Struthio camelus: one gene and its partner. The protein of the gene in region 1 purifies or fractionates together with the protein of each later gene. This does not show direct contact. Links are inferred from orthologs where the notes say so. Each region holds a gene or a part of one and is shown in the gene's direction. Other genes may lie near its edges.

The links.
Region 2: the proteins of VAMP4 (region 1) and STX6 purify together in Homo sapiens (co-immunoprecipitation; 5 studies listed by BioGRID and IntAct, counting the BioPlex papers as one, with this or other methods). This does not show direct contact. The link is inferred for Struthio camelus from reciprocal best matches to the Homo sapiens genes VAMP4 and STX6.

What each region holds. Positions count from the first base shown.
Region 1 is NC_090949.1:8,654,279-8,669,942, forward strand, and holds the start of VAMP4 (vesicle-associated membrane protein 4), read left to right. Parts: upstream 1-8,998; 5' UTR 8,999-9,054; coding exon 9,055-9,121; intron 9,122-9,401; coding exon 9,402-9,514; intron 9,515-12,148; coding exon 12,149-12,195; intron 12,196-12,566; coding exon 12,567-12,617; intron 12,618-15,664. Other genes in the region: MYOC (myocilin), read right to left, coding at 5,595-6,382, 7,284-7,403, 7,586-8,060. UniProt on the Homo sapiens protein: Involved in the pathway that functions to remove an inhibitor (probably synaptotagmin-4) of calcium-triggered exocytosis during the maturation of secretory granules.
Region 2 is NC_090949.1:6,927,498-6,942,880, reverse strand, and holds the start of STX6 (syntaxin-6), read left to right. Parts: upstream 1-7,879; 5' UTR 7,880-7,954; coding exon 7,955-7,989; intron 7,990-10,035; coding exon 10,036-10,205; intron 10,206-10,822; coding exon 10,823-10,917; intron 10,918-12,712; coding exon 12,713-12,775; intron 12,776-15,100; coding exon 15,101-15,223; intron 15,224-15,383. UniProt on the Homo sapiens protein: SNARE promoting movement of transport vesicles to target membranes. Targets endosomes to the trans-Golgi network, and may therefore function in retrograde trafficking.

The sequences.
Region 1 (15,664 bases):
TGTTCACCTCTGTCCAGCTATCTTTTTATGAAGCAAGTGATCTTTAAACGGTTTCCAGCTTATGTCTGTATAGAGCAACGAGCACTTAGAACTGTGCCACTAGAATAAAAGAAACCTTATCAGATTAAAGAGAATTTTATCTAAAAGGTGCATTCTTTATATCAGAGCTGCGTCGCACCACCTCCTGGCCCACAGTGTGCTGGAAAGTAGAATCAAGTCAAATAATGCCTTTTTAATTGTATCCTCTAGTATTATAGCTGTAGGACAGTACTGTATGATACTTCTGTGAATGTAAGATATCCTGTACCTGCTTATGATATGTAGTAGTGACTGTGCTATACTGGAGCTGTTTTTAATAATGTTATTCTAGAGGTTTTTTCCAGACAATGATTGAAAAGCTAATAAAAAGCACCAGGTACCACATCAGTAGCAGAATTTGCTGTTTTTTTCTGGGATATCTTTTTTTTTTCTTTTTTTTTCTTTTTTTTTCTTTTTTTTTTTTTTTTTTTTTTTACATTTTTGGAAGGAAGAGTGAGTTGAAAGTCTAATGTGTATAATTTTGTTCAAATGACTGCAGAAGCTGGAAAGGCTGTTGCTGCTATTGATGCCTAGTGAATCGCTATTGGTTATCTTTTTATATAAATATATATATAATTTGAATTTTTGGAAACTTTAGCTGTGATGTCAACTTTTGGAAAAAAGTATCCCACTTGTAGTGTGAGTTGGCATTGTACAGAAATTAACAGCCATATTGGTCTAGAAATGTTAAACTTAATTTTTTCCATTTGTACAGGGGTAACGCACTGTATTAAATATGTAAGGTCTTATTTACATGGGTTTGATTACAGAAACTAATAAAGTATTCTCTAAATAAAGTATCCTGGTAATCTCATGATTAGCTAAACGCTACAGGATGCAAGCAGTTCACCTGAATATCATGTGCCAAGTGAAGAGTATGTGTTACAACTTGGGACAAGAGACTTGTAAAGGAAAACAGTTTGTGAAACAGCTTGTTTTTGTTTCTCCCTGCACTCACTGTTCTTGATCCCATTCTCCAGTGAAGGTCCCGTGGCACGTGGCTTCCCTCCAGCTCTGGAAGGAGCTACTAGCCAATTGCATTGCAAGACACGATCCTTTTTCTGGCACGTTGGCAACCTGCTTGGTGTTAAGAGTTGTATTTTGTTTCCTGGAGAAGATCAGCTCATTGGAGGAGACCCGGATGAACCAAGATTTTGGCCTGCGTGTGAGTACGAACGCTGGCCGTTCAGGCAGCCCGCACAGCAAGGGGCTGTTAAAAGCAAGAGGTGGCCGTTTCCCGCAGGGGGAAGCAGGAGTGGGCCATGACACGCATACTCCCGAGGAAGCACACCTTTCTCCTGGTGCTGCCCTTTGCGCCCAGGACCCTTCACTTGCTCCATTCCCAATTCACTGGTGCAGGGCCAAAATTAAACAAACTAGCCAAGGAACAAACACTTGCAACAATAAAAGATTCAAATCACACAATTGCTGGCTTTTTTCCTGGAACACCCTTACCTGCTGGGTGTAATGAAGGGTTAAACATCCTAGCAGTCCTTCCGTTGCCCAGGTGAAGGCATCCTTGTTTGCATGTGGCTTTCTGCATGGGGTTTGTGTGAGATGGGCAATCATGAAGTGGAAGAAGGGGGAAGGTGTGATCAGTTAAAGATTTGTGCTCTTCAGCTGGCCACCAGAGGGTACTCTTGATTCACAATAAGGACCAGAAGCCTTTCTCTTTTAGGTCTCTAAATGCTGAGAAATAGTCCCTGCCCTGAGAATAGGTGCTGGCTGACATGATACTTTCATTTATATGCATTCTTTGGAAATAAGAAACTTCTGCTGGGATATCTCTACAACTGCTGGTGGTAGCAGTGCGGATCTGCCTTTGTTCCGATGGCGTTGCAGACAGACAGCTGTACGGCAGTGGCAAAGCAAACCTTGGCCGGCGCTTTGGCTGGACTGGAAGTGATGATGTGGGGACACCGGAGGAGCTAGAGTTGTCTTGCTGATGTTGGTTCTTTTAGTGCGTTACTAATAGTATTGCAGCGATATGAATTTGCCACAGATGCTGTAATCTGAAAATGGAGCAACAGTTGGGCAGAGTTTACCTCTGAGTAGGTAACATCACAGGTGAAGTGAAGCCATTCCTACAGGAGCGGTACAAGTACAGTTAACCCTCAAAGGAGGAAGAAGGTGTGAGAACTGAGTAAACTTTTAGACATTGGTGTGATCTATAATGTGCTACAAAAGATGATTTTAACGGTAAACAAGTTGTGTATTAAAAATAGGGTACGATGATGGTGTACTCACTCAGAACGTTTCCATCACTTGAGCTCTTTCTGATTTTGTGGCTTTATGCTGATGCTTCCCTATTTGAGAAGGGAAAGACCCTTAAAAGTCCAAAATCATTCCCTGGACTCTTCTGTAATTAAAAAGAATACTGCTGAAAGGATTAATTTCAAGTTCTGTAGTAAAGCCACTAGAGAAGTCAGATAAGTTTTCCAAATATTGCAGTGGGAATGTGCTAGGCTTTCAGCTACTACTTGTGTTTAGCAGAACAAGGATATTTCTGCAAAAACTTAATCAAAAGCAAACGTCTGACGATGTAGCGCATCTGAATAAAGCCATTTTGATGTATGCTTCCCAAATAGCCTTGAACCACCTCCGTGGCTTTTTAAGGCCAAGCTAAGCATTCAGTCAAAGCTGACCCCAGTTCATTCAATATTTTTGTGATATTTGCCTAGATAACTTGCTCTTGGCCGTTTCCAGCTAGGCTGCGTCTTGCTTTTTCCTTTGAGTGGGATCTGCTGTGTAAGCTCTTTTCTGGGGCTGTCTAGTCATCACAAATAATTGTGTTGAGAACGTCCCCTAAATTAGGGAACTACTTTGTTTGGGGAATTCTCTAACTTTGTTGTAAAGTTCAGTCTGTGAAAAGACCACAGGCAAGAGCAGAAGTGGAATTAATGTGACCGGGGTCAGATCCAGCAGCCGTGCTCAGCGCTGTGCTTTCTGCTCATCGGGAGGTGGGAGGGGGAGGGATGGATTCTCTTTTGGGCTTGTTCTGAACAGCCTATAAAGCAAGTCTGTGTATTTAGAAGGGCTCAGCTCAAGCCCAGCTTTCTGGAAATCTTGTGTACGTTGGCTGGTCTTCATTTATTTTCTTAGTCAATGAAATGATGGACTTGTCAGCCTGAGAAGACCCAGGAGCTGGCAGAGATCGGGGCGCTGGGTCTGTGTGGGTTCAGTGTCTCGACTAGCGCTGGTGTTCCTGCGATGATTTCTGAACAAGCCATCGCTGTCTCACCGCTGCCCCGCGTCCCGCTGCTGTGGCTGGGGAGGAGATGGGAGCATGAGGGAGGGGGCCAGACCTGCACCGCCTGGGGCCAAAGGAGGCTTCCTCCTGCCGGAGGTGGGCGCCTGCCCTTGCCCCCTGTCTGTTTTGGGTAAGGACCTTGTGTTTTCCAGTTCCCTGCAGCAGGAACGACCCCGTTAACCGGTCTCTGCGGGGGCTCGGGCCAGCCTGGCTCGGAGGTGCCTCGCGGCAGGCGTCGCTCAGCCTGGCTTTGCCTTTGCCCCTTGGATGGGGAGGGCCGGGGCCATCGTTCATCTCAGCAGGGCAACACAGCCGCCCCCGGCGGTGGCTTTTTGGAGCAGGACCAAGGGACCCTCTGCCAGCAAGTCTGCCCCGGGGACGATGTTGCTGCCGGGGCCCGGGAAGGGGTAACGGCGATGTTTCCAAAGGCCGGGAGAGCCTGGGACCAGCCACAGCTTTATTGGTAGGTGCCCCTTCCCCGCAGGGGCCGAGCCCGGGCGCAGCTCAGCGCAGGCCGACGTCGGCCCGGGCGTACAGAGCCCAGCAGGCCGGGACGGGGGGTCCGGGGCTGCGGTCGATGGCCGGGCCGCTCCCGGGCAGGGCCTCGTACACCAGCAGCAGCGCGGGGAAGGGATCGCCGCCGAGCGCGGGGGCCCGGACTGCGCCCAGCGGGCCGGCCGCCGCGGGGGCCTGGGCGCAGCCGCCGCTCCGCTGCAGGGCGTAGATGGCGCAGCCCCGAGGCCCCCAGGAGCCGGCCCCCGGCTGCCCCGAGGAGAAGGCAGCGCGGCTGGCCGCGAGCGGCGGGATGTGGCGCCGGTCCAGCTCAGCCAGTCCCCCCGGGGCGCTGGGGGCCGCGGGGAGCCGCCGGTGCTGCCTGGCCGCGCGCATGGCCCCCCTGCTCTCCCGGCCTGCCAAGCAGGAGTCGCGGTGTGAGGGGGTGGCCGCCGGCCACCCCCCACACCCCCCCTCACCAAGGCGTTTCGGGAGGGCTGCGAGCGCCTCGGGGACTCACCGGGGGAGCCCGCGTGACGCCGGGGCTGCCTGCACCGTGGGGGTCCCCCCCCCACCCTCTTGTCTCCCCCCTTCTAGAACGGGGCCCGGGGGGGGGGGGGGGACCGGTCGGCAGCAGCGCTGCAGCGAGAGGCCTCCCACCGCCTTCACCCCGGACCCCGCTCCAGGGGGCCCGCGGGGGCCCCGGCCTGGGAACGGCCCTCGTTGTAAGCCTGCTGCCAGGGATGGAGGCCAAAAGGAAAAAATCCTGCGTCCCGGAGGGACGCTCCGGGCCGGGCCCCCGCTTCATCCGGCCGCCAGCGCCACCCCCCTCGCCTGGCTTTAACGCAGCGCGTTGCCCCCCCCCACCCCGTTTCCCGGCCGCCGAACCCTATTTCTGGGGCCTGCCAAACCCCGCAGACGGCGCAGCCCCGCTTCCCGCCGCCCTGCGGGAGCTTGGAAAGAGGGACGCGCGGGCTGCGGCGGGTGGGTGATGTTTATTGCGACGGGACCGGGCAGGCTGTGCCCCTCTGCGTCGGGGCTGCTGGCGCCCACCCCCAGGCGCCCGGGGAGGGGCCGGGGGGTGGGGGGGGGAATCACCCTTCTACAGCATTTTTACAATAAATAGTTAAAAATGCATGCTCTTAAAACAGCGCGGGGCGGCTACAGGCGACGCGAGGGTGTCTAGAGCGATGCGGCCGAGGGCGGCGGGAAGGTGGTGGCGGGATGCTCCATCCTGCTCTGCTGAGCCCGCGCTGCGTCTGAGCCATCCCTGCTCCAAACCGGTGCCGGCGAGCGGCGCCAGGGCTGAGCTGAGCTCCCCCAAACGGCTCCTTGCGCGGAGGTCGGCGCCGCTGCACGCCGGCCCAGGCCCGCTGCGGAGGACGGAGTTGTCCTGCCGTCGCCGCCCGTCCAAACCTGCTGAGCCCAGGGAGGAGCGTTTTGCTGGCTCCACCGAGCGCCGGAGAAGCACGTTGTGTCGTCTTCCCGCGGTCGAGCGTGACCCAGCTTTGCAGAAGGTGCCAGCGGACGCGTTCGTGGCGCCGGGGCGGTCGAGCGGAGTAGGGGCAGCTTCGGCGAAGGCTCCCAGGGGCGGCGGCGCTCTGCCGGCGGGCGGGAGTCAGGCCCGCGCTCGGGGAAAGCTGGGGAGCAGCGCGGGGTGGGGTGCGTGTGCGCGCGCGGGGTCGTGAGGGCTCAGCCGTCCCCCTCCCCGACCCCAGAGCCCCTGCTTCACGTGAGCGAGCGCGGCACGTCCTCCTCGCGCCCCCCGCGCTGCTCACGCGCGGGCGAGCCGGACGGGGTAGGCGACCATGTGGAAGCTGTCCCACGCGAAGAGCTGCCGCTCCGCGGGGTTGTAGTCCACCATGCTGACGTACTGGTAGCGGTTCTCGAAGGGGATGCTCAGGGGCCGGCTGGTGCCGGTGGCCGTGTCGTAGGAGAAGTTGACTGTGGCGTTGGGGACGGTGTAGCTGCTGATGGTGTAGAGGACGCCGCAGATGATGAAGGCATTGGCCACCGACTGCTTGCGGATGTTGGTCTCCCAAGTGCGCTGGATCTCCAGCGTCTCCGGGTCCAGCTTGGACAGCACGATGGCCCCCTTGGCCTTCTCGGTGCTGTAGATGACCCAGAGCCCCGTCTCATCCACCGCCAGGTCGATGTCCGTGTAGCCGCCCCAGGAGTAGGGGTACTGCCCGTGGTAGCCAGCGCCGGGGATCTCCTTCTCGACCGCGATGGCCTCTCCCTGCAGGTCGTACTTGGCCAGGAGGCGGGAGCGGCGCTGCTGGAAGTAGAGGCCACCGCGGAAGACCACGGCGCCGGTGCTCTCCAGGGCCCGCGGCAGGATGTGCACCTTGGCCGGGTAGCCCTTGCTGAACTGCTCGGCGTCGTCGTACTGGAAGAGCTGGCGCACCTCGGTGCCCACCGTGTCCACGCGCCACGTGGTGGCCCGCGTGAACGGGGGCACGGGCTCCGGGTCCTTCATCCACACGCCGTACTTGCCGGCGATGGAGTCCGCCTGGCCGAAGACGACGGGCTCCCCCACCCACACCAGCTCGCCGCAGCCTGCTTGGGGGGACAGGGAGGGAAAGAAAGGCGTTATCGCTCCGCCGCGGCCCCAGCCGGCGGGGGCGGCGTCTCCCGAGAGGGGCCGGGCAGCAAGCGAGCGAGCGGTGGCGGTGGGGAAAGGTCCTCGAGCGGCATCCCAGCAAGCTCCTTTGGGGCAGGGAGCGGGAGGGCAAAGCCAGGTTTGTGAGCCGCGGCGGCGCGGCGCGCGGGCAGCTCCCTGCGTCTGGCCCCGGCAGGAGCCCTGGGGACAGAGAGGGAAGAGAGGCAGCTGTGAGCGCTGGGGAGGAGGAGGGGGAAGGAGAAAAGAGGGACCTTCGCTTCTGCAGGGGTATTTACAAGCCGCGGTGGAGCCCGCGGAGCCCTTTCACGAGGTGCCGCTGAAGACGTAAGCCAGGAGCCGGGTCGGGCTGGACGCTGCACCCGCGCGGCGCTTGGGGACGGTCCAGCCTGAGTTATCCTATGTTTTTTCCATGCTGCCTCCCCAAGGGGCTGCAAGCTCCGGAGACGGGGTCCGCTGCCCGAGGGGAGGCAGCCTTTCCCGAGCCCCCGGTCGGCTGACCGCGCGGGTGCTGCTTCGCCTGCTCGGAGGCTGCAGCGTTGCCTCGCTGCCCGTTTCGAGGGTCGTGCAGGGCGCCCGCACCCGCGTCCCGTCCCAGCAGCCCCCAGCGCCGCCGCCTCGAGGAGCTGGGGCCGGGGACCTCTCTGGAGACGGGCCCCGTGCTGGCGGCGGGGGATGGCGAGCGGGCAGGGAAAGCCGAGGAGAAGACGGAGAGAGGAGGGCACGAGGCGAAGAAGGCCACGGATAAAGGAGGGAGGCTGCTCGCGGGCGGCGGGGAGGACGGAGGCCGAGGGAAGGCACGGGCGGGCGAGGGGCGCGGGACGGGGACGGGGACGGCCGTACCCGAGTCCTCGGCATCGGGGCGGCCCGGCGCCGTCTCCTCCAGCAGGTGGGAAGCGGGAACCTCCATCCGGGCCGACTTCAGCTCCTGGTAGTCGATGGTCTGCGGGTCCCACGGGGAGGCTGCGGCGGGGGCCGAAGGGGCAGCGCGGGTGGGAACCAGCCCGGCTGCGGGGTGTCACGCTCCTGCGGGGGGGGGGGGGAGACGGCCACCCCGAAACCCCCACCACCACCACCCCCGGGAGCGGGACGGCGGGCGAGGGGGGCAGCCAAGCGAGGTGCCAAGCGCCACCCCGTCCCCTTACCTTGGCCGGAGCCGTGCAGGGCGTCGCGGGGGGACCCGCGGGCTCGGGGCGGGCAGCGGGCGGCCCGCAACCGGGCCAGCTCCCGGGCGCTGCTCTCCAGCCGGCGCCGCAGCTCCTCCTTCTCCCGCTCCAGCCGCCCCTTGTCCTCCTCCAGGCGGGAGACGGCGCGCAGCAGGTCGCCGCAAGCGGCCGGGGTCGAGGGCCGGGCGCTCTGCACCCGCGGGCTCTGGGCCGGCGCGGCGGCGCCCGCCTCCCGGCTCTCCAGCAGGCTCAGGCGGGCGGCCAGGGCGGCCAGCTCGGCTCGCAGCTCCCGCCCGTCGCCGGCCTCGGGGCAGCCGGCCTCGCCGGGGCTGGCCACCGTGAAGGAGTAGGTGCAGCGGCCGGCGGCCGCGCCGTCGTCATCGGCGGCCCCCGGGGCCAGGCCCCCCCCAAACAGCAGCAGCAGCAGCAGCAGCAGGAGCCGGGTGCCCGGCATGGCCCGTCAGCTCCTCCGCGCCGGGAGCCGCCTGCCTCCGCCGCTGCCGCCACCGCCGCCGCGCTCATTTATAGGAGGGCAGAGGGTCGCGGCGGCGCGAAAGGGCAGGAAACTTCCAGAGCCGGGTTGCGGCGTTCGCCAAGCGGCCGCCGGCGGTCCCGGGGGGGCTGCGGTCCTCCCTCCCTCCCTGCCTGCCTCCCCCGGCTCCGGCCTCCCCGGCGGCGCTGGCCGCCCTCCGGCAGCCCGCGGCCAAAATATTTGCTCTCGGGGCAGCGCGCCAGGGCTCCCGCGGCCAGCCGCGGCCCCGGCGGGGGGGCGAGGGCAGCGGTGTCCGGCCGGCCGGCCCCCTGCCAGGGGGGAGCACGAGGCGTTAAGGGTGCCGGCTGCAGCGCCCGGAGGCCGAGCCGAGGGGCTTCGCTCCCCGCGCAAACAGCCCCGTGCGGTCGCCGTTAGGTTTTTAATGATGTTTTGTTTATTGAGTGTTTTTTTTTATTATTTGCCTAGCAGCGAGGGAGGGCACAGCCAGGAAACAGGGCGCGGGCGGCTCTGCGGGAGGCTGCGGGTTGCAGCGGCGCTAAGACGGCCACGGAAAGCGACCTAAGCGAAAAAAGGGAATTTGGGCAAGGGGCGCCCCGGGGCGGGGGGGGGGGGGGGGGGGCGGGCAGGCTCGAGACGAGGGTAACCCGCCCTCCCGGCAGGCTTTGCCTACGTTTGTTTCCCGATTCATTGGAAAATAACCCAGCAAGTCAAAAAAAAAAAAAAAAAAAGGAAAAAGAAATACACGCTTAAAGTCTGAGCGAGCGAGACCCGGGACCGCTCCCGCAGCCGCACGCGCCGCAACGCGCCCCCGGCCGCCACGGCGCCCCGCCCCCGCCGCCGGCCCCGCCCCCGGGGCCCCGCCCCCGCCGCCGGCCCCGCCCCCTCGGCTGGCCCCGCCCCGCCGCCCGTGGCCGATCGATAGCTCGGCGCTCGGCGCGGCGCGCCGAGGTGGTCGATGGGCCAGCTGACTCGCCGCCGCGGCACCGGCCATTTCCCGCCGGTGCGGCCCGGAGCGGAGCCCGGTGAGCGGCAGCGCGGGGGGAGGAGTGGGGTGGCGGCGGCGGCTCGCTGCGCAGCCGGCGGCAGGACGCCCCTCTCGGGGCGCCGCCGACGCTGCCGGTACTGCGCGGCAGGGGCGAAGGCACCTGGAGTCGGCGGCTCCCCCCGCTCCCGGTGCCGGTTCACCCCCCCCCCCCCCCCAGCAGCGACCGGCGCCCCGCGGCCGCCTGCCCGCGGCGGAGGCCGGAGGCGGCGGCCCAAGGCCCGGGCGCGGTCGCAGACCCTCCTTGCGTTGCCTTCCAGGGTGGTGCGCTCCCGTCGCCGTTCCCCCCCCCCCCGCCCTCACCACCATGCCACCGAAATTCAAGCGGCACCTGAACGACGACGAGGTCACGGGCTCGGTGAAGAGCGAGCGGGTAAGCGGCCCGCGGAGCCCTGCCCGTCTCGCGTGGGGGCGCGGGGGAGGCGTTTTACGGGGGTGAAGCTCGAGGTGGTGCTTCGGGCATGCACCTTCCCGTGTCCGTGATGCCCCGTGGAAACCTTCCCCCCCGCCCCGTGGGGTCTGTGTTCCCTCTCGTGGGCTGCCGGGCGGCTTTCTGGTGGGGCGGGAGGCAGGTTCGTGCTCTGGGATCTCTCCCCTTTTCTGAGAAGGGCGCTAGCGGCCTCGCGCCCCCGGCAGGGCCCCGGCGCTTCGTTGGTGCCTCTGCCCCGCGTTCGTGGGCACCCTCCAGAGGCTGCCACCTGGACTGTACTGCGTTTTAAAGGAAGGTGTTGTCCTTCGGACAGCTGTGACTCCCCTACAGCTTTGGCGGCATAACTCTCTTCGCGCGCCTTGATGGAGCGATTTTGTTATTCTGCGTTTGTCACCTGAGATGCTCCCGCGGTTTGGGAGGAAGAAGGTGATTGCGGTTTACCTTGCGATGTTTGTACGAAACGGCGTTTGTCGTCTGCCGAGGTAGGCTGTTATTTATGTAGCAGCCCCCGCGGCGCTCCTTACGGAAGGTGGGTAGGTGTTAACAGGCTGGCTGGCAGGTGCTTGCTTAGGCAGCGCGCTTATGTGATGTGGTGTTTGCAGAGCTGGCGGGTCGAGGGAGGCTGTGCAGCACGGATCTCCTCTCCTGGAATCGCTCTGCTGTATTCGCAGCGCTTTTCTGTAATTGGCCTTTTTGCAATTCTGAAGATCCTGCCCTGTGGTGGAACCCCAAGATTTACCTGAGTTACCCTGTGCCGTTAGCTGCCAGGCCAGTTCAGGGTAAGTTATAGCTCCCCTTGCTGAAAGGGCTTGTGCTACCGTGGCATTCGGTCAACAGGTCCCAGAAGCCAATATCACCGTTGATAACGAAATTTTGATAATGAAGGGACTCTCCGTGCAGTTAATTTACTCTGTATTTTTAAAAACAAAACCAACTCCAACAAACGGTGTCTGTTTGGAGAACTTGCTTCAATTCCTTCAGGTCGCATTTACCACTGCGAGAACCCAGTGTGCTCCTGTTTCCTGATGGGAGCTGCCTCTAGGGAAAGCTTGTCCTGGTCACGTCGCAGCTCTCTTTCCCCAAATAGCTGTCTGAAAGGCTCGTGTGAAGTTACAGTGTGGTGCTCTGCTTTACAGATGAATTTTTTTCCTGTCGCTAAGGTCCCTTTACGTTCCAGGCTTTGAAATATGGGTCAAAATGGTACACTTGCCTGTTTCAGGCTAAGTGCGTTCACCTTGATGTGCCCATCCTGGGGTCGTGCAGTGCTGAAACCAAGTTTTGGCTGTAGTCTAAAACGTTGCTCCGGCTCCTGCTCCCTGTCGGTGAAATGAGGATCCTGTGCTGCCAAGAGCAGTTCACTCATCCCTTGAAGGAAGTGATGGCTTCAGCTCATGCATGTTCTCACAGGTTGCTTAAGCTGACTGAGCAAATATGACAAAGCTGAAACGTAGGTAGGCTTCAAAATAAGAGCATTGCATTTGCAGGTGGGAGCTCAAATTTATGCATGGGGGAAGCAGCATCTGTTGGTGCCGTAACGATAGAGTCTGATGTGTTGCTGGGCCCACACACGTAGGGTGCCACATCCCCTCTTGATTATTTTTAATCCTAAGCATCTGTGACTGGGACCCCTCAGCCTGAGTGGTGAATTCCTGTTGCCACGGTATGAGAGAGGAACTCTCATAATACCTTCCTAGCCCAAAACTTTTGGGTGCAAGTGGGATTGTGAGGCTGACTTTAAAAATCAGCCTTTGTACCAATTGGTGAGGTGTGGTGGAACAGCAAATCTGAACGCAATGAACTGCTGAAGAGAGCAAATCGGGAGATGTGCGTGGTCCCTGAATCAGGATGTGCGTTTGGGCAGGAAAAAGGAATTTGTTCTCTCAAATCCTGTCCCCTTCTGAACGTTACGGGAAGACATGTGCAGGAGGATGAGTCCTTCAGTGTGAATCAGAACAGGTAGCAGAGCACTCCTGCTTTCCGCTCTGTCTGCAGCCTTCACCTCCTTGTGCAGGTCGGAAGGGCCAACCCGCCCGGACGTGGCGTATAGGGGAGGCCAGAGTCTGTTTCAATGTTATTGTCCTCCTTGAATAGGCTGTCATCAGATGACTGCAAAAACAGCATCCTCTGAATCAGCAATAGATCCGACTTTCCATGTGGATGAGATACTCCAGGTAGTTGCAGGTGATACAGAAGTTTTGAGCTGCTACTTCTGATTGAGCATAGTGCTTTGGATCCTTCCTGGAGCCGAGAGGGCTTTCCCACCCCAGCTGGCATGAGCAGGGACTCTGCCTGCTGTTTTCCAAGGCAGGGTTCAACATACTGGTGGACTGGCCGCTTACTTCATCGTGGGAAGGTATACGGATGCTTGGAAGAGAAGTAGGATCTGAAGCTACATAGGAACCTGGCAGTTGATGCGAACCTGCTTTGGATCAATGGCAGTGATGTGAGAGTTGTCCCAAAGCAGAGCTGCGTAGCAGCCTGTATTTTAGAGGTGTGTGCTTGTGTCCTAAGGTCTGGAAACGTGTGTGTGAAATGGCGGATGCTTATTGACGCGATGGGTTTTTTCTGTGTTTGCAGAGGAACCTTTTAGAGGAAGATTCAGATGAAGAGGAAGACTTTTTCTTGTGAGTTTCTGCATGGGTGTTGTAGGGAATGGGATGTCTTAACTAACTAAAGATCTGAGACTGCAGGTGCTGAAAACCAAAAGCTGCTCCTTGCCAAACAGGTGAGGGCTTACTGTTATCAAAGCCTTTGATTCCTTGGAGATAATCTCCCAGAGCCTTGGCAGCAAGCATGAATGAAGACTTTGCAGGTGTGACCTGTGTAAAACTGGGGCACCCCACATATTAAGATATGGGAGGGACTGATGAGGGGCATGAGAACAAGCCTCCTTCCACAAGGCATTGGTTCTCTTTGGCCGATCTTTGAGTTCTCTGGTTTAAATATATGTTTTCATTGCATCTTCCCTTATTATTGCTCTCTTTCCTGCTTACAGGAGAGGGCCGTCCGGACCGAGATTTGGACCCAGGAATGACAAAATCAGGCAGTAAGTTCTTGTTCCGCAGTGTCACATGGATAATATTTTATTCTGACATTACAAGCTCCTGCTGCTCTCTTACTGGAGTATGCCTGTGTAGTTCCGAGTATGAGCATGGCTTGTGCTTTGTTTCTCCTCCTTGTGGTTTCCTGCCCTACCTGTCTTCAGCTAAGGGAAATCCCAAATTTGATTCAAGCTATCCAGGAATTGTGCATTAATACAAGCAAAGGGATAGGATTGCAGCCCAGTAGCGCTGTGGAGTTTCCGAAGCCCATGCTATATTCTGGTGCTAAATTCTGGTGCTAAACTATTTCGTGTTTTTAACCAGTCTTTCTGGAGCATTAACCCTGAATTTTAAACTTGGGCTAGCTCACTGCTCATCTACCCTTTGTTTTTATTGTTTCATTGCTTCTTCCTTCACTCTGGAACTCCATCCTCAATGTTTCAAGAAAATGAGCAGTCAGGAATAGGTAAGGACTGTTTTTCTCGGGCAGCTGCTGGTCTTCTGGCCTCTTCTCCTCTAGGAGAAAACTTTATCTGGATGACTTAGAGATGAGCAATGACTCAATGGGGTCAAAGCAGCTGGACAAACAGGAAACCATTACAGCTGGAGGAGGATTACTGGCTGCAACAGAGTAAGAGAGGAGAAACAAACACCCTGGTAATAGGGCAAGAAGGAAGGAGGAAACACCTTGGATCCTTCTCCCAGCAAGTCATTTCCTGGATGGTGCTTGTGCTGAGCTCCAGTTTGCCCCACAGTTTCCTATTAGGAAAGTGATGGTGGCCCTTAGTGGAAGGGAGAGGATATTCACAGACCCCTGGGTTGCTGAACCTTGCTTGTGCTATGCTGATTCCTTTGCCTGCAGCCCCAGTGCCAAAATAGAAATCTGTGGGAAACTGATGACCAGGTGCTTAACAGATTGGGTCATTTTGCTTGCAGCCTTGGAGTCGCTCTTCATTGGGATTTTTTTTCACGCCAGGAAGAAGCCCAAACAGCTCTGGAATGACTCATTGCCAACGTCAGCTATAGGCAATGCTTGGTCGTGTGCCTGCTTACCATGTTATCTTGAGTCACAAGGTGCACTTGAGTTACAGAGGAGACAGGGCGGTGGTCACTCTGCCCTGAGTTTACAGGGGGTCTCCGCTCCCTCTGGTGCGGTAGGATGCTGTTAGTAGAGCCAAACTCTTTGTTATAGCAAGCTGGTGTGGAGAAAGCTTCCTTTCTAGTGCAGTGCCACACTGGTCTGAAGTAAATGGGGGGGGGGGGAGGGGGGAAGGATAATTGTCATCTGTGAGAGTGGTGTTCCCTCCCCTTCCCACCCCCCCTGCAACCAAGTGGAGAGGGGGTAATGCCTACCCCTTAGTCCTCCTGTTCCAGAGAAGGATCACAGAGTGTCTTCTGTCTTCCCTGCGTGGTGGAGGAAAACAAGAGCTCTTCTCTTCTCGCTTTCTTGGCCAGCCAGAAGGGAGCAGGGCCTTGGGTAGAGGAGTCATGGGAGTCTGTGGGAGCCAAGGAAGAGTGTGTTTTCCAGGTGGCAGAGGATAGCACAACATCTATGAAGGGGAAGTAACATGAAAGAAGAACTAATCCAGGAGCTCATAGGTTGTACAGCTAGTTCATAGGTGTGATGTGACTAACATCCAACATATATGAGCTTTGGCGGTTGCCTGTCCAGCCATATAATTGTCTGGACCTGCTTTAAGGAATGTTCCTAAACCTTCCCTTGGGGGAACAAGCGGCTACATGTATCTAGGCTCTCCAGGCCATATGCAGTAGTATCTATTTTCTACTTTCATCAGAGGTGGTTGGCATTTGCAGTATGTAGTGATCACTTCTTGTCAAGTAGCTTATTATTACGTTTCTGATCAGACTGACCTTTGTGCTGGATGGGGTGATGCCTGGTCTCATAATGGTACAGATCTCTCTTGTTTCAGCAGAGGAGAGAGTGTTGGGTTGCTGCTGAAGTACTACAAAGAAAATACGTTTCAAGGAGAAATTTGAGTATTTGGAGAGCTGAGGCATAGTTGGGCAAAGCTAGAGAGACTGGAGCTGTACAAGGCTGGAGGGAATAACGTGAAGATAGGTGCAAAAGGGGACTGGGCAGAGGAAGAGGTGATGGGAGCGTGACAGCAAAGGTGTGGAGCATATTCAGTTTGAGAGGTAAGACTGAAAACTTTTTCTTGCTGTTCTTGGCAGCAAAGCTGTGCAGAGACCCTCAGGGCTGGCTCAGCTGCAGGAAGCGATTGTTGAGAATACTGCAGACTTTGGAGGGGAAAGAGAGGAGCTAGAGCCGGTGATAATCGTAGGAAGTGTGACAGTCCCCTCTGTAACATCTTTTGCGCTGATATGCCTGGAGGGTCAGGCTCTGTTGTCCCAACAGCTGCTCAGTTGGACTGGAAGCTCCCATGTAACTAAGTGGGGTCCCTTAGCCTCTCTGATGTCTCCCCATCCCTGGCGCTATTCGGGTTGGAGCTGAAAGGTATTTTTTATCAGGGTTTTATCCTTTTCCCCAAACAGGGGAAAACAAACAGCTGTAACAAACAGGTTAAAAAAACAAAAGAGCTGATCTCTCTTCTTCTCTGCCACTGCTTAGAGGCCTTATGAGAGGTCCTGACTGTGTGTAGTGAGAGCTGTCAGTGCGTTTGCTGGCGAAGGGGGAAGTTTGTCTTCCACCTGAGTTTCTTTTACTTAGAGTAGGAGTCTGTCATCGCAGGTCATCTTTTCTGCACTATTACCAAAATCTCTCCCTTTTCTGCACTGCTTGAGTTCCTGGAGAGCATGTTCGCCACTGACCTGTCCCCTTTCAGGTGACCGTGCTGCTGGATTAGCATTCCTGCTTGTGCTGGAGATGCAGCTCAGCACACTGGTGCGGTGTACCCACCGCCAGATCTCGGTCCTTGCGACTTCTCTGTCGCGCTGCTCAGGGTGGCCGGGTGCCCAACCCTGCCTCCACTTGCTCTGGGTACAAGTTGCAAGCTACTGAGAAGGGGCAGAGTTTGAGGAATGGCTCAAGGCAAGAGTTGAGGGCTGCTTTCCAGGGCCCGGCTGCCCATTG
Region 2 (15,383 bases), about 1.7 Mb from region 1:
GGACGCCTCAGGGTTTCTCTCCGAGCCGCCCTTGCGTCCAGGGCACCTCCGTGTTTCCACGCCGGTGGCCGGAGCGGGCCGCGCCGCTGGAGGCGCGCGGAGGACGCGCGCACGCGCGCGCTCCCCGGCTCGGCGCCCGTCGGTGGGACGCGGTTGGCGCGGGAAGGCGTCGCGTTGGTGGGCCCGCCCAGGGCTGGCTCCAGAGCGTGTCCGCGATGGTGGGACGCGTGTCGCTGCCTCGCGTCCGTCTGCCTGTCTGCAGAAGGGGCACGGCCCCCCTCCCGCCGGGTCACGAGGGGATAGGAAAAGGAGGCGGAGGAAAGGGTGTGACGAGGCGCTCTAATCTCCGCATGTGATCTAACTAGGCTGGAAGGGGCTTGACAAACAATTAACAATCCTCCAGCTCAGCTGCTGTTTCCTGAAATAGCTCGCTGGCAGGGGGAGGGAGAGTGGGCGCGCAGACAAAGGTGGCCTCTCTGCGAGCGAGCTGCAGCCGGGAGCGCTGGCCGAGGCAGCCCAGGAGGTTAAACAGTAGGGAGCCCACAGCCCCACCTGGAAAGAAAAACAATGCAAGATAAAAGAGGCTCGGGACAGGAAACAGCTTGTGGTGCAAATAATGATTGCAGAGGGCTGCACACACCACTGATTTTTAATAGTCATTTAAATTTGCCTTCAACACCCAGCAAAGGAGGCCAGAGCTGGGAAGTTCGGCGGGGATTCACGCGACTGCCTCTCGGCTGGGAGGCCCCGTAAAACGTGGGCCAAGCGTAGCGTGGGTTGCTGCTGCTGAGCGCTAGCACGCACAGGCTGCCCGACAGCTGCTCTGTCTACGTTAGCCTGCAGTCGGACAGCTATTGCAGTTTTTTATTGCTATTGCTGCTTCCCCAGCAACTGAGCCAGTGGGAACACAAAACGTCAAAGCGCCTTATCCACGTTACAACAGAGCTGCAGGGTCCTTGGGCCGAGCATCTCGCTCCTGCTCCCAACGTCCCCCTCCGGCTTGTGCGAGCGCAAGGCGTCGCGCAGCCACGTTGCAGAAACGTGGCTCTGGATCGAATCGCCTCCGCCATCTGGCTCGCAGCGTCGCCTCCCTAACCTGTCGCAGTGGTGGAGCTGAGGATGTGGTTACCAAGATCCTGTTTTGACAGCGGCGCCACGGTAAATAGCTCCCTCCCACTAGCCAGTCGTTCCCATCTCCTGCCCCACTGCTTGCCACCAAATGTGCGGCCCGGGCCCGAGGGGGAAGCGAGTCGCAGCAAAGAGATGGAAAATCCTTCAGCCAGGACTGCCAGTGAAATTTGGGGTCTCTTCAAGGCGCAGGCTCAAGCTGGAGTTGTTCAACAGTTCTTTTGGCTGTCCCAGCTCCATTTCGGGAGCTGGGACACATCCCCTTTCTATTCAATACAGACCAGGATTCATGAGCTAGACTCTTCCCAGGAAGAAGATGGGGACGATACACACACATGTCTCTCACCAGAAGTTGGGTTGGGGCAAAATCCTTCCCGTGAACAGATTGTTCAAGTAAAAATGCAATTTCAGGACAACTAAACCTCTGAGGAGATCCAGGCTGCATCCCTCAGGGACTGATGACAAAAGTTTACAAGGCCAGAGAGTAACATTTCAAAATGCAGATTCATGCATAGCCACAGCCTGGGTTCTGGGTTCATTTCTAGACAGGAATAACAGACATCTGAAAATGAGCCATCTGTGAGAGACCCACACAGGTTGGAGGAGGAGGAGGAGGTTTGTTTGGCGTCAGTTTCGTTCTCTTTCTTTTTTTTTTTTTCCAGAAAAATCAATAATTCCCATGGATGCAGTCTCAAACCGCTGCAGTCAGATATCGATAACCAATCTCTCAGGGTTCCCAACTATTCTGGTTTCTCTGTATTTGAAGATAAGGCTAGAAGAGCTCAGAATCATCCCCAAAACACGGCAAACAGCACTAACCACTAAATACTGCTGAATGATAACAAAACACAACACACAAGTGAAATACAAACAAATCGATACAAACCTAAAACCAAAGGGAGGAAGTAGCTCCCTCAGCTTCTCGGAGTGCTAATACACCTGCCCGTGAAACCACAGCAGAGCGTGATATTACAGCAGAGTAGCATTCTCGAAAGCAAAGGGGTTTTTCCAGAGTTAAAGACCCCCTTCTCGTCCGCTGAAAAGCTAGCGTAGATGCTCCAGACTACTCCTTCCTTCCCCAAGCAGGCAGGACTCCCTCCTCCCTCCCAGGCAGCTTTCTTCATCAGTGACCTGGGATTCCCCCTTTTCTCTCTGCACAAATGATTTAAGATGTCCCCTCCCTCACTCTGAGCCAGTGGCTTGGGACTTCCCACCCCTCCCCTGGCGACCCGTGACCCAGACCCCCTGCCCTTCAGAAAATGCTGCTACTCCTCCGGCAACCTCTCCAAACACAAAGGGGAAAAAATTCCCACTCCCAGCTATCAGCTTCTTCAGGCAGCAATTTCCCCTGGAAAAATCTGGCCCCACATCTTTCACTGTTTTATGGAATTTGCTTTGGTTTCCTGGGGAAAAAACGCATTTATTTGTCCGGGGTTTCCTATCAGACAACCCTTCTATTGTAGTCTACCTTCCTGTATTTTTTTTCCTCTCCGATATGCTTGCAGCGGCTTCTGTGTCTTTTCCAGAGAAGTGCAGAGGACCGTGGTCTGTGTGCTCTCTCTAACCCAGTTTCGCAGATGGAGGTTGCCTTGTGTCCAGCAACCAAGAAACACGACAGCCCAGGGACCCTGCTTACAGCCTGGCAGACGGGTCTTCAGCTGCCCAGCGCAGCCTTTGCTTCCAGCTCACTGAAAGCCGTGCAACAAAGTGCTTCTTGCCGGAGCAATTTGCTCCGCAGCTGTGGCCTTGAGGGATGCACTTATCTTTGCTAAACAGGAGGCAGCCTCAGCGGCAATCACCTACGGCCCAAAACAGGGTTAAATATCACGCGTTAATTGCGTGAACTCCACATGGAGTCAACTAAAGTCCCAATTCAGGGAACCGTGGGGTAGACCGTGTGCCCAAAGGAGTCACAGTCTAATTATTTTTTTCTCTCCCCGTATCTCAATGTCACCTTCCTTTTAGCTGGCAGGCAAACGACTACTGCAGCCCTATGTACATCCCAGAGCGCAGATGTGTCCTCTGTTCGACTGCTTCCTATTTAAGCATGATAGGAAGGTTGTATACTGACACTGTCAAGTCATGGACCTGTTATCCCTGGAAGAGATTGCCTGCTCCAGTTCTCTGCTAGCAAAAGGGCGGACTGAGGTCCTTGGGACTTGCCAGCAAAATCCATCACACACAGCGCTTATTAAAAGTCCAAAAACAGCCAGAAGGGAGCCTTTCGCCTCCTCAGAGTAGCAACCGCCTGAGAAGAGTAGCAAGGACAGAGCAGATCATGCCTGTGTCAAACCTCTCTTCCCACAATAAAGGGAAACTGAAAAAGAAAGTGTCTGTGCCTGCTAGCAGGGTTTGATCTCCCTGCTCCTTTCGATCTGGGGCCCTCTCCCATTGTAGGGACCTGCCTTTGGCCACTTTGTCCTTTCCCTCTGCACAGCTGACCTGGTTTGCGAGGCCGACTAAACGACTGCCTGCCCTCGGACAGAGCCTAGAGCCCTGGCAGGATGCCTCAGGACAGTCTTCCTCGGACAGCAGGATGATGAGCAAGAAACGGTTATGGAGTAAGGCTGCCTAGGAAAAGGTCCTTCTAATTTCTGCCCGGGGACAGATTCACTGGGCGTTCACGTGGGTGCCGCAGATGTCCTGTTTAATATGCTCCACTGCCGTTCCACTATCTAAATCACAGCTGGAATCAGCCTGACCTCCTGTCCTGTCACTGATTGAAAAACATAATGACGACTTCGGCGATCTGGCACCTCACTACTTACGTAATTAATTTCTTTTTGAATCTGAGTAAGCTCTCGGCATCATTGGCATCTTGTGGCAGTGAGTTCCCGAGGTTCGCTCTGGCAACACCTTCTTTGCTCAATTTCATTTCCCATTGTCATCTTCATTAAATGACCAATTGTTCATGCACTATGAAGAGGAAAATTAACTTTCTCCAAAACAACCCTTATTCTGAATAGTCATCCTGCATCCTCCATGAATTACTACCTTGCATTTGCTCATTTATTCCATGCTTATTTGCATTTTGAACTTCTTTTTCTGGTTGCCTACTTAGGGGCTGCAGTGTCTATACAGGCAGGCCTTTCACTATTCCTACCCCAACTGAGGGTAAGGCTACAGCATGAAATCAGCTTTTGTTAGACAACAGAGAACCCGCAAGGAAGAGCAACATAAGGAAAGCCACAGCCACGGCAAAAGCTTCAGTCGGGCTTTACTCCTTCCCAGATACCAGAAAATCCAACTGCAGGCTGCAAGCCCAAGGAAACCCACTCCATCAGCGCTGCCACGCACTGAGCTAGTTGTAACTTAGCTGCTTCCTCTCACACCTTGCTGAACTGGTAGCCATTGCCTCTGCGGCCTTCACCTGCTCCACTTTGGCTCTATTTTGTGCCCTGGGAAGGCAGAGATCTCTTTGAGTTACTGACATTTCTCAGCTGCCTCGTAAACTTGTGGGCAGCTTGGTACCTTCCAGGTTTCATCTCTAGCTGGCTGAGCACGTGTGGCTGGAAGCACCCAGCATTTAAGCCTTCCTCTTGGCAAGGAACAGGCACCCCTTGAGACCTTTTTGTTTTAATACCTCAGAGTCACCGATATCAACATGACACACGATTGCGCAGTAGAGGCCTCGTGCCATCTGCCCCCTTTGCGTTTTAGAGGGAAGTCACCATAAAACCTCACACTGTGATGTCTAAAAATGAGGCTCAGAAAAGCTAGTTATGAATGCAGAGGGGCCATGCCTGGATAGGATTTGGTGCACACTCTTGCAGCCCACCACAGCACTGAATGTTTAACCACAGACTAGTGTTTTGTGTCAAGTTATCACTGGCCTAATCCTCCGGTTACAACCACCATTGAAAATCTTCAACAACTTTTACTAAAAATGCAAACAAGGAAGAAAGGCACATGGAAGCATCTGAAACTCATTTACCTTATTTCCTTTAATGCTTCTTCCTTTCATTGTAAAGCCTTGTCTATGGGGAAAAAAATCCCCTATACTTTTGCAAATCCAAATCTAAACAAATCCAGCTTTTCCCCAAGAAGGAAAAGCCATCTCTTCCATGTCAAATGCATATTGTTAACACCAGACTAGTAGCTAGTACGGGATCAGACACACTCCCCCACACACATGTATACACTTGTCACAAATATTCTTCTGATAAAAGTTTCAGTGAACCCAGTTCATTTCTGCGGACGGTCTCGATTCTGATGAGTTGGCACTTTTCAGCACAAAAGTGTTTAATCAGATCTTTCCTGACCAGTTCTGCAGCTGCGCCGTGTGCCATTCACAGAGCGCTCCTCACCCGTGGAGAAATAGGTTAGCTGAGCGTGGGGAAAGCCACCAGAACGCTCCCTAGTGCTTCGAAGTAAAAGATCGGAACTTCCCACAAGAAACAGAGCAAAAATACTTCCATCCTAAAAAAATACAGCAGCAATTTGACTTTCTTGTGTGTGAATTTACGACATCATGTAAATTAACTCAATTCCCAGCATCATAAAAAAGGCTGCCTTTTTTTCTTCCTGTGAGGTTTGCACTTTCCCTACATTTCAAAAGTGCCTCCTTATTTTCAGCCCTCAACAGCACCACGAAGCTTTATACTTTTTCACAAAGGTGTAAGAGCCGCTTGCTCTCCCTAAAGCGACGTGAATAAAGGTTTCACGTAATTTATTAGAGGACTTCCAAAATTCCCAGCTAGCAACTCTCAGGGGCTACCAGAGCTTTGCTCTTTCATTCCCAGCACAGTGAAGATTCAGTGGGATACTTGCAACGTGAGCGAGCTGAACGGCGCAGCCTCAGCCCACTGACAGCAAAGAGCTGCAGATTGCCAGACTTTTACAAGCGTTTGAACAAATCTAACCAAGATAGCGTTTGGTGTGATGCTCAGCATACACCATCTCTGTGAGTGCACGAGCAGACAACCAAGTAATTAACACAACCAAGTCCAAGCACGAAGAGCGACTCCCTGGGAGACGCTGAAAAGGCAGCAACAAGGCTACGACACGCTTCGAGCTGCCGACTGGCTGCTTCTGAAAGGTTTCACAGCGGAGGGTGTGTATTCACACACGTGAGCTGTGTCTCTGCCACGGTGTCCTGTACTTCCTGGAACAACCCGCCACCCTCTGAGCCTGTTTGTACTACGTATGTAGATAAGGTGCACTGCCCTGAGAAATTCTGCCTTTGCAGAGCACCCCAGCACCTGAAGCAAAGCCAGCACGGTACCTCTTGGCTGCACCACACGGCAGCAAGGCCTTGGCTGTAACATCTCTCGCAGGGCAGACAGGAGGAATCCAGAATGGCTCAGCAGCTCCAGGCCAGCCCAAGCTCTTCTTTCCCCGCTTGGAAAAGTGCTGGTGTCCCTCCTCCATCCAAAAGTTACGGTCAGCTCAAGCCTGCTGGCATTTCCAGAGAAAGGCAAGAAGTCCAAAGGCGCTAGAGCAGGCAGCTAGGGCCGCAGTGCAGCACGAGGGGTAGTGGCAACAGGGGTTATTTTGCAGGTAACATGAGGACTTCAGTGAAGGGGGGACAGAAACAAGTATTGCACAAGAGGAGCTTTGGCAGCTGGGCACGGGGAAGTTGGAGAGGAGGGATGGGAGCCCTGAAGAGTGCAAAGCGCAGGTGGAAATCACAGGAGGACTGCGGGGCTTGGAGGACAAGGGCTTCGGGGGGCAGATGTAACTGAGCGAGTGTCTCCTTGGCACTCTGCTTTCCGCTCCTGTCCATGAGTGCTCTCGGAGTCCCAAGGCAACTCCAGCTCTGCACAGGGCATGTTCAGCACAGCACATTTCGCGGGAATCCCCTGAAACCTGCCTGCGTGGGAAACAAGCCATCCGAGGTGATGCAAGGAGCGGCCGCAAACACAGCCCTAGCGCTCCTGCGAGTTGCGCCACACCTGAGAAGCGGTGGTTTTCCAAGCGCGGGGCTGGCCAAAGCAGCAGGCGGATGGCTCACTCGGCAAACTAAAGAAACCAGTTTTACACGCGCCGCAGCCTTCCCACCCCACGCTCGTGAGTAAATCTGCTGCGATTGCAAAAGCGACTTATCCCTTTCACATGCTGAGAAAGCATCTCTACGGATAGGCTTTGTACCTATTCCTTCGGCTAACCAGCACCGTCTTCGCTATCGGCACCGGACTGCAACCGCACGAGGAAAGCGGCGGCCAGGCCACACCCTCTGGTGAACACAGCAGCGATCGGGGGGATCGCTGGACGCAGCGCACCCCGGGCCTCGCAGGGCCAGCCCAGGCCGGGCGCTGCCAGGAGGGCGGCGGGGACGCTGCCCCAGGCCTGCCCGGGGGTCCCTCCTCTCGGTGCCAGCGCCTCGGGGCTGCCACGGGCAGCAACAGCCCTTTCCAATCCCTCAGAGCCGCCCGGGAGGCTGAGAGGCTACGGAGGAGCCTGAAGGCGGGGAGCCAGGGGCTCCTCGCTCAGCCAGCGGCCGCGGGGCCGGGCCGGGCCCTCCGGAGCGGGGCACCCCACGAAGGGCCACGCGAGCACAAGGGACCGGCTGGCCCTTCCCCTCGTTCCTCCCCCGGCAGAGCAGAGCGCAGCACGGCGGCCGGGCCGAGCGGCGGGAGCGGCCGCCGCTCCCTCAGGGAACCGCCGCCGCCGCCACCACCACAGCGGCCAACGGCCACACGGCGCCGCGCGGCGCAAGGAGGGGGGGGAGGGGCGGGCAGCGTCACGTGCCGCCCCCGCGCGCTGGGCGCAGGCGCGCGGCCCGTGACGAGGCGCGTGGGCGGGGCGGGGCGGGGGCGCGCGGGGCGCCCGGGCTCAGGCGGCGGAGGTGGCGGCGGCGGCGGCAGGGAGCGGGGCCGGCGCCGCCATGTCCATGGAGGACCCCTTCTTCGTGGTGAAGGGGTGAGCGGGGCCCGGCTGCGGGGGGTCCCGCGGGGGTGGGGCGGGCCCGAGCCCTCTGCGCGGCGGCGCCGCCACACCGGGGATGTCCCTCCGTGGGTGGGGGGGGGGGGGGATCGGGCCTCCCCGAGCCGCCACCACCCCCCGCCCCCGTGCGCCAGGCCGGGGCCTCGCCGCCCCCTCTGCTGCTGCTCAGGGGCTCGGGAGGGGAGGAGGGACCCCCCCCCCCGGCCCCGGGAACCCCCCCGAGGGCGGCCGGCGAGGCGGCGGCCCCACGCGAGGGACGCGCGTGGCCGCTCGCGGCGAGGCGGCCGCGGCGCGAGGAGGCTGGCGGCCACCCCCTCGCAGGCGGCTGGGCGGCGCGGAGGGCCGCGGAAGGGAGGCGGTCGAGGCAGGGGGCGAGGGGAACCCTAACGAAGAGGGGCGAAGCACCTTTGACCTCTTAAGAAGCAGGCCGGGGTGATTTCCCCGCTTCTGGTGGGAGCCGGTTGTCCGGCTCCGTGTCGCAGCGAAGCCGTGGGGACGCGAGCGGCCGTCCGGAGCGGTGGAGGGATTCGGAGGAAGCTGCTGCGAACGGGAGGAGCGCGGCACCAGCCGGAGTTCGCTCAGGGGGCGAACGCAAGCGAATCGCTCTTCCAGGTTGAACTGGTGCTATGGGAAACAAAACTACAACAACAACAACAACAAAAACCCACTAAAGGCCGTGGGTGGGGAGCAAACGTCCTGTCAGACTTTCCAGAGAGATTCCCCGCGCTGTGAGGGAAAGGGTTGGGAGGGGAGCGGGGATGTGCTGCCGCTTTTGGTGTTGATTCTTCTCCTGCAGGTTGCAGTGGAAGGGGTTGGTGTTCAAGCCCAGCCGTGCTTCATTCAATTTGCTTTCCTTTCATTCATAACTCCTCCCATCTGCAAACATCGAGCTCCGCTTTAGACTTCCACTTGTAGGGACTTCCTCGAGCACATTCAGATTTGAAAAAAAAAAAAAAACACCCAAAACTTTGCCTAGCAAGTAACAGAGGAAACAAACCACACTAGATCCTTAGTCCTGGCTGCTAACTTTAGGGGAGTAGATGCAACAGACTCTTTGAGCCATAAATGTCCGAGAAGAGGAGGAACACACATCAAGGTGCAGAGACTTCAGCATAATGATGTAATGTAGAGAGACCTGGAGCCCAATGGCCCTCCGAGGGCTGCTGGGTGAGGACGTGGTTCACCCATCTAGGCTTCTCCAACTGGTAAACTGCTTTGATTCACTGGAGATCAGCGCCCCTTGCACGATCCTGTGTGCAAGCTCTTGGATTCGTGGCCACCTTTCAAGAGCCAGCAAAGTCTCGCTGGCGTTGGTCTTGTCTGTCTGCCTCGTCCTGACTCGCCGTTAGCCCAAGAGAATGGTCCATAGTGTTTGTACGTATGGATAATCACACCGACAGTTACCTGCCCTCTTGCCCCAAACCGTGAATGCAGCGTTCAGTGCTGTCAGCAAAGCCTATGTTCCCATGCTGTGAATGCGCTCTTCTCTAAAAAGCTGAGAGCAGCAGAAGAGAGTTCTGTTGGCTAAGCCAGTGCAGTAGAGCCGTGTATTTTTTTAATGCTAAATTAAAGTAAACAGTGCTGCGCTGGACAGTCTGCATGACTGTAACGTGGGGGCAGTTCCTCTAATTCTGTTTGCCCTTGGGGTATCTTGCCTAGGTAGTCAACAGTCTTTAGAGGAAAGCTGTTGGGAGAAATGCAAAATAATAATTGCCAAATAAGAGTCTTGATCAGACAGTTGCACTGCCCTATCTTGCTGTTTGTGACACTGAACAGAAACCTCCGGTAGCTGAACTATGAGTTGTTGCTCAGCACTTCATGCTACAACACTAAAGGAGACGAGCTTGTCCAGAAGCGTGGTGAATCCTTATTTTACAAAATAAACCAAAAATACTTGAAGGAAAGATGTTTGGGAGGAGGTTGCACATCCCTGCTCTCCTGGACATGGGACTGTCCCTGCATGACTGCGGCAAAACAACTAAAAATAATCCCTTCACTTCTCTTTAATTATCCTGACTGCAGGGAGGTGCAGAAAGCAGTGAATACTGCCCAGGGGCTCTTCCAGAGGTGGACGGAGCTCTTGCAAGATCCCTCTATAGCCACAAGAGAAGAAATTGACTGGACCACTAATGAGCTCAGGAACAATTTGCGGAGCATCGAGTGGGACTTGGAAGACCTGGATGAAACAATTAATATCCTTTTTGCACTGCTGGTGCCGTCTTTGGAGGTAGAGAGAGGCAGTTCACACCTTGCAATAAACAGTCAAGTGCTCGTGCTCGCCAGTAGTTGCTTTTTGCAGAAACCAAGACTGTTCGGGATTGAATTTTCAGTTTACCCCAGGTTTTCTCGAATTGCAAATGAGAGAGGAAGATGACAAAACAGGTTCTGCGCACGAATTTCCCTCTGCGTTTTTGTTCACCTTTTGAAAAGGTGTCTATTAAGATGCTTTCTTCCCAGAAAACTGTTCTGTTGAATGAACTTGGATTTCTGTGTAGTCAGTCCTACTCGAGGCTGGCTTCCAGAAATACTCCTTTTCCCTGTGTTCGGCTGAACACTCCTGAAAGTGCTGCACAGCATCAGACAACCAAAAACCACACGAGCGTGTGGTTTCTTTCTCGTGCGTTCTGCAAAGTATGTTGCAGCCGTGCTTTTTTCCTTTAGTGTCTTGTACTTTGCTAATCGAATGTTGGGAAAAGGCACAGGTAAATGGAGGCGCTATACCGCGTGATAGACTTCTCAGTGGTCAGGATTTCTCTATCTGCGTACGTACTGCACCCTGCAAACAGTGATTCCTTGACTTGTTCTCTACGCATTGTTGAGGCAAACCCTCGGAAATTCAACCTCGATGCAACGGAGTTGGGTATACGGAAAACCTTCATCACAAGCACGCGGCAGGTGGTCAGGGTAAGGAACGTGGGCTTCAGGTAGGAACGGGGCACAAGCGTTGGGGTGGGGGGGCCACTTCGGTGGGAAAGCAGAAAGCTTGCGGCCATTTCAGTGCTGAACTGGAAACTGGTTTCCCCCGCAGTAGAGGACAAACCTGTTACCTGCTCTCTCTTGGGCTTCTTCCTCTTCTCCGTATGCTCCCTCCAGGGGCTTCCCAGACAAGCTAGGGGCACAGCAAGGATGTGGAGACCTCATTGCATCCCCTACCTGGCTTTCCTCCCTTTCAGCTGCTTCTTTAAATCTTCAAACGTCTCTTGTAATGATGAGCCTGGAAATGCCTAAAAACTGGAAATGAAGGCTAAGGATTCCTCTGTTATGCAGGAGAAACTGGAATCTCCCTTCGAGTAAAGGACAGCTACTGTTTCCTTTAACTGCGTGTCACAAGTTTTCAAAAACAGAAAGTCCACTTTGAACACTTACTAGTGTTATTTACATGGTGACTTCAACTTCCTACTGCTACAAAACAGTCAGAACAGCCACTAGTTTTTATTTTTGACTTTGGGAAGTTTTTTTTGGTTCAGGCTCACTCCCTTAAATACCAGTCCTTCGAACAGAAGTGGGCCTGGCAAAGCCCACTTTGCCCTTTCATTCCCAGCACAGTGAAGATTCAGTGGGATACTTGCAACGTAGGAAGTTTTCTCTGTATTAATATAACACTCTCTGGCAATATGGCTTAGTTTCTGCTGTCCCTCATGACTTGGATGTTCCTGCTTCATAAAAGGCATTGCTCTGGCTGGAAGCAAGCTTGTTATCCTACCTGTAATGCTGTGGTCTGGATACAGTTCTTAAAGCTTGCTGCTTGGGAACGGATCCTGAAACCGCACCAGCCCCAGGTAGCGGGCATGTGCTCGCTGACTTGCCCTCTATGTAGTACACTTCCCAGGTGAGGAAGAACAGGCAAGCCTGCTTTGTGGTCCTCTTTCTCAGGCTGCAAACTGCTGGCTAATGGATTTTGGAGCGATGTCTCCTACTGTTAAATGAAATTTTTTAGTGGCATTTTCCAGGAGGCTTCCAGTTTCCACAGGAGGAATTTGTGGTGCATAGCAGCACAGGCATTAGCTAGTGAGGTGCTTTTAGAAGATCTGTTGCACATGTCTGAACAGTAAAACATAGCTGCATCTTCTGGTGTCATCAGAACTGTGCTGGTAGATGAGATGGATCAAACTTTGATAGCTCATACTAACTATTTGATAATCTATCCTATAAGAACTGGACTACTTTAAAAAGTGTTTGGGATCCTTCTTTGACTAGCCAGCTCCTACAATGTTTCAAGAACAAACTTTAATTTATAGGAGAGAAATCTAGGCACCGTCAGAGAGGATTGCCATAGGACGAGAAATCTATCGTGGCCTATGCCATGTTAAACCAGAGGCAACTGGGAACAAAGTGCAGGTTACAGGCTTCCGACACCTTCAGGTCAAGAACATAACTCTTCTTTACAGTCTGTTAATGGGAAGATTAGTTTAATCTTATACAAATCAAAGTGTTTCTCTCTGTGGAGAAGCAACACTAAAAGTAAATAAGGAATTTTTTCAAAATATCCCGTTGCAAATGATTCTAGTTCTAGTAAAACTATGAACTATGATGGAGCCTTCTTCAGCATCCTTCCAGGCTCTTCAAAACTGCATATGTTTGTAAGGAAAATCCACCCCCGCAAGAAATCTCGCTGGGTATAGACAGCATTGTAGCAAACTGAAACCGCCTATCATCTCAAATCTAATGCTCACATACTACTTCTTTTTTGAACAAACAGGAAATGAAGGATCAGATGTCAAACTCTTCCATGCAAGCGCTGGCTGAAAGAAAAAACAGGCAGGTAAGACTCAGAAACAGGCAAGTTAAATGAATGCCATAGCCTTTTTGATACTTTAAAGTTTGAGGAGGATTTATCAGCTTTAGCAGCTGTTGTCTTAAGGTATGTGTCACATGAAACTTTCGTTTTCACTTACTCTGGGGCCCCACGTCCTAAGGTAGAGCGTATAGTGTTGAACAAAAATCCTTAAAAGCTGTAATTACAAAATATATCCTGTTTCGTAGCTCCTCGCCTAAAAACATTTGTGCTGGCAAGGGGGGCTTACATGTTGCAACAAAGCCGTGTGTTTGAACTGTGTCTGTTTTGCTGGCCTGTCGTTCCAGAGCCCACGAGAGAGCTGGCTCTTGCAGGCACATTGTCGTCACTCCCTTCCAAACCAGTCTCTCAAAGTAACCGGTTACCACTCACCATCTGTCTCTGTCGTCAGAACTGACCGTGTACAACTGTCAGTGTTGCATCACTCTTCAGGAAAGGGAATCTCCTTCCTTCGCAGGAGGAGCAGAGTCAGAATCCAAGGCAGTACAAGTAATCCTGTGCTCTACTGTACTTAGGAGCCAGGATGCTATATATCCTTACAAATAGCTGCATCTCATAATAGTTAACCTCATAAGAGGATGGAAGAAGTTCAAGGAGTCTCAGGTTGTCCGCACTTGCAATCTAAGTAATAGATGCAACATGTGCTCCCCTCCAGCTGACAGGGAAATTGTAAGGAGATCTCCAAGTCGACTTCCAAAGCTGCCTCTTGTAAAAGTTGGTGTGCGCTTGATACAGCAGACTTTTCTGACTGGATCGATCTTATTACGTGTGGCAAAAATGACAAACTCTGGAACAAGCTGCTGAGGAGGACAGAGCTAATTCCTGAGCTTGTTACAGGGTTAACTAACATGCGTGGCAAACACTTGAAGGTGCAAACTCCTTATACCCCTGCTCGGACAAGTCTGTAGATGTCTCTGCATTTTGCTGCTTTCCTTTCCTTGATGCTCCTGCTCGCTGTAGGAGGTCCAGTTCATGCAGTGACATCTGTTCAAGAAAACAGATTCCTCTTGGTGTCTTCCTCTCCCTTCTCCAGTCCCTCACCTTTCCTTCAGACTTCAGACAGCTGTATTGGGCTGCAAGGCGTTCTCCAGAGCGCCTCTGTGTTTGAGAGGCTGGCTTTGGCTGGTGGTGACTTGACTCTCACATCACTAAGCTAAGGTTGGGAAGTACAGGCTATTGAAGCTGCAGCAAAGCTAGTGCACACTGTTAAGTAAGTGATAGTAGGGCTTGCCCCAAACTGGAGAGAACCAGGAACTTGCCCAGTGTCTCGGGGGTGGACAAGAACAGCTGTCTGTCTGGCTTCCTGCTTGGTCCCTCACGGCTTTCTCTGCGCTCCCTGACCTTTATAAACCAGATGAACCGTAGAACCCGTCTCGCGTTTAACCTGTCTTAGTCGCCCGGTCCTTGTCTGGCTGCTCTTCACAAAGATGCCATCGTCCCCTCCTCCTCAGCTGCCCATGTCCAAAAGCTGCTCATCTCACCCTCCTACACCGCTCTTAAAGAGTTGGCCTTGCCTCTTGCACTGGTGGGCAAAGCTCCCTAACCTGTTAGTAATGCTGCATGGTGCAGCTCCTCGCCTTCTGGCCATAGATGATTCTCCAGCATCTGTCGGTCATATTACCTGTTCCAGGGGCCAGACTGACTCAGCTGTAAAGCCTGCTTCTCCATTGGCTTTGCACTGCTTTTCCATTCAGGCTACAGAGCAGGAAGCAAGTGTAATCTTGTATATTGGCAACTAAATGGTATGCAGCAGGAACAGACAACTTGAATCAAAGAACCCGAGCCCTGCATACAACACTGCATTGTGCATATATTGCACTGTTTTACTCCGTCAACTATCGTGCTCAACTGATTAAGTACTTTATCCAGACCCTCTTAAGCCCTAGTCATTCTTAGCACAGTGTTCAGTTCATGCTCTACATCTGTTAACACTAAATATGTGGATGCTTCCCAGCTTATATGTCCTCCTTGCACACTACCACACCTTGAGCAGACTTTGGCCTTTTGTAGATGTCCTGCTTACACTCTCTCCCTGTCTGCCAGTCATACTCCAGCTCGCCTGTTGCTGCAGTGGCATATCTGCAATAATCAGGCTGCACAGTTTTCCCAGGTTGGCACTGCATTGTTTTAGTTTGACAGCGCTCTGGCTGGATATCAGTAGAGTGGGGAGGAAAAGGATGCTGCTGTATGTGTTTGTACAAGAGTATCGCTCTATCCACTTTCCACTCCACGCTGTAGATGGGCTGTGAGCAGACACAAAGGTCTAGCTAAGGGCTTTCTGCATCTGTTTAGGCACTCCTGGGAGAAAGTGGGAGTCAGAGTTGGAGCTCTGGACCTGACAAATACAGCCGCCTGGATCGGGAGCTGCAATTAGCAAATTCACACTTCATTGAAGAGCAACAAGCTCAACAACAGGTAAGGCATTGCTTGCCAAACGCGTGCCAGGGAGGTGGGGTGCAGGCTGCAAGAGCAAAAAAAAAAAAAAAAAAAAAAATCCAGTCCTTGGCTGGTCTGAAGCCAGGAGCCTGACAACCCGCTGTTTAGCTACAGTATATACCAGTGTGTGTGTTCTCTG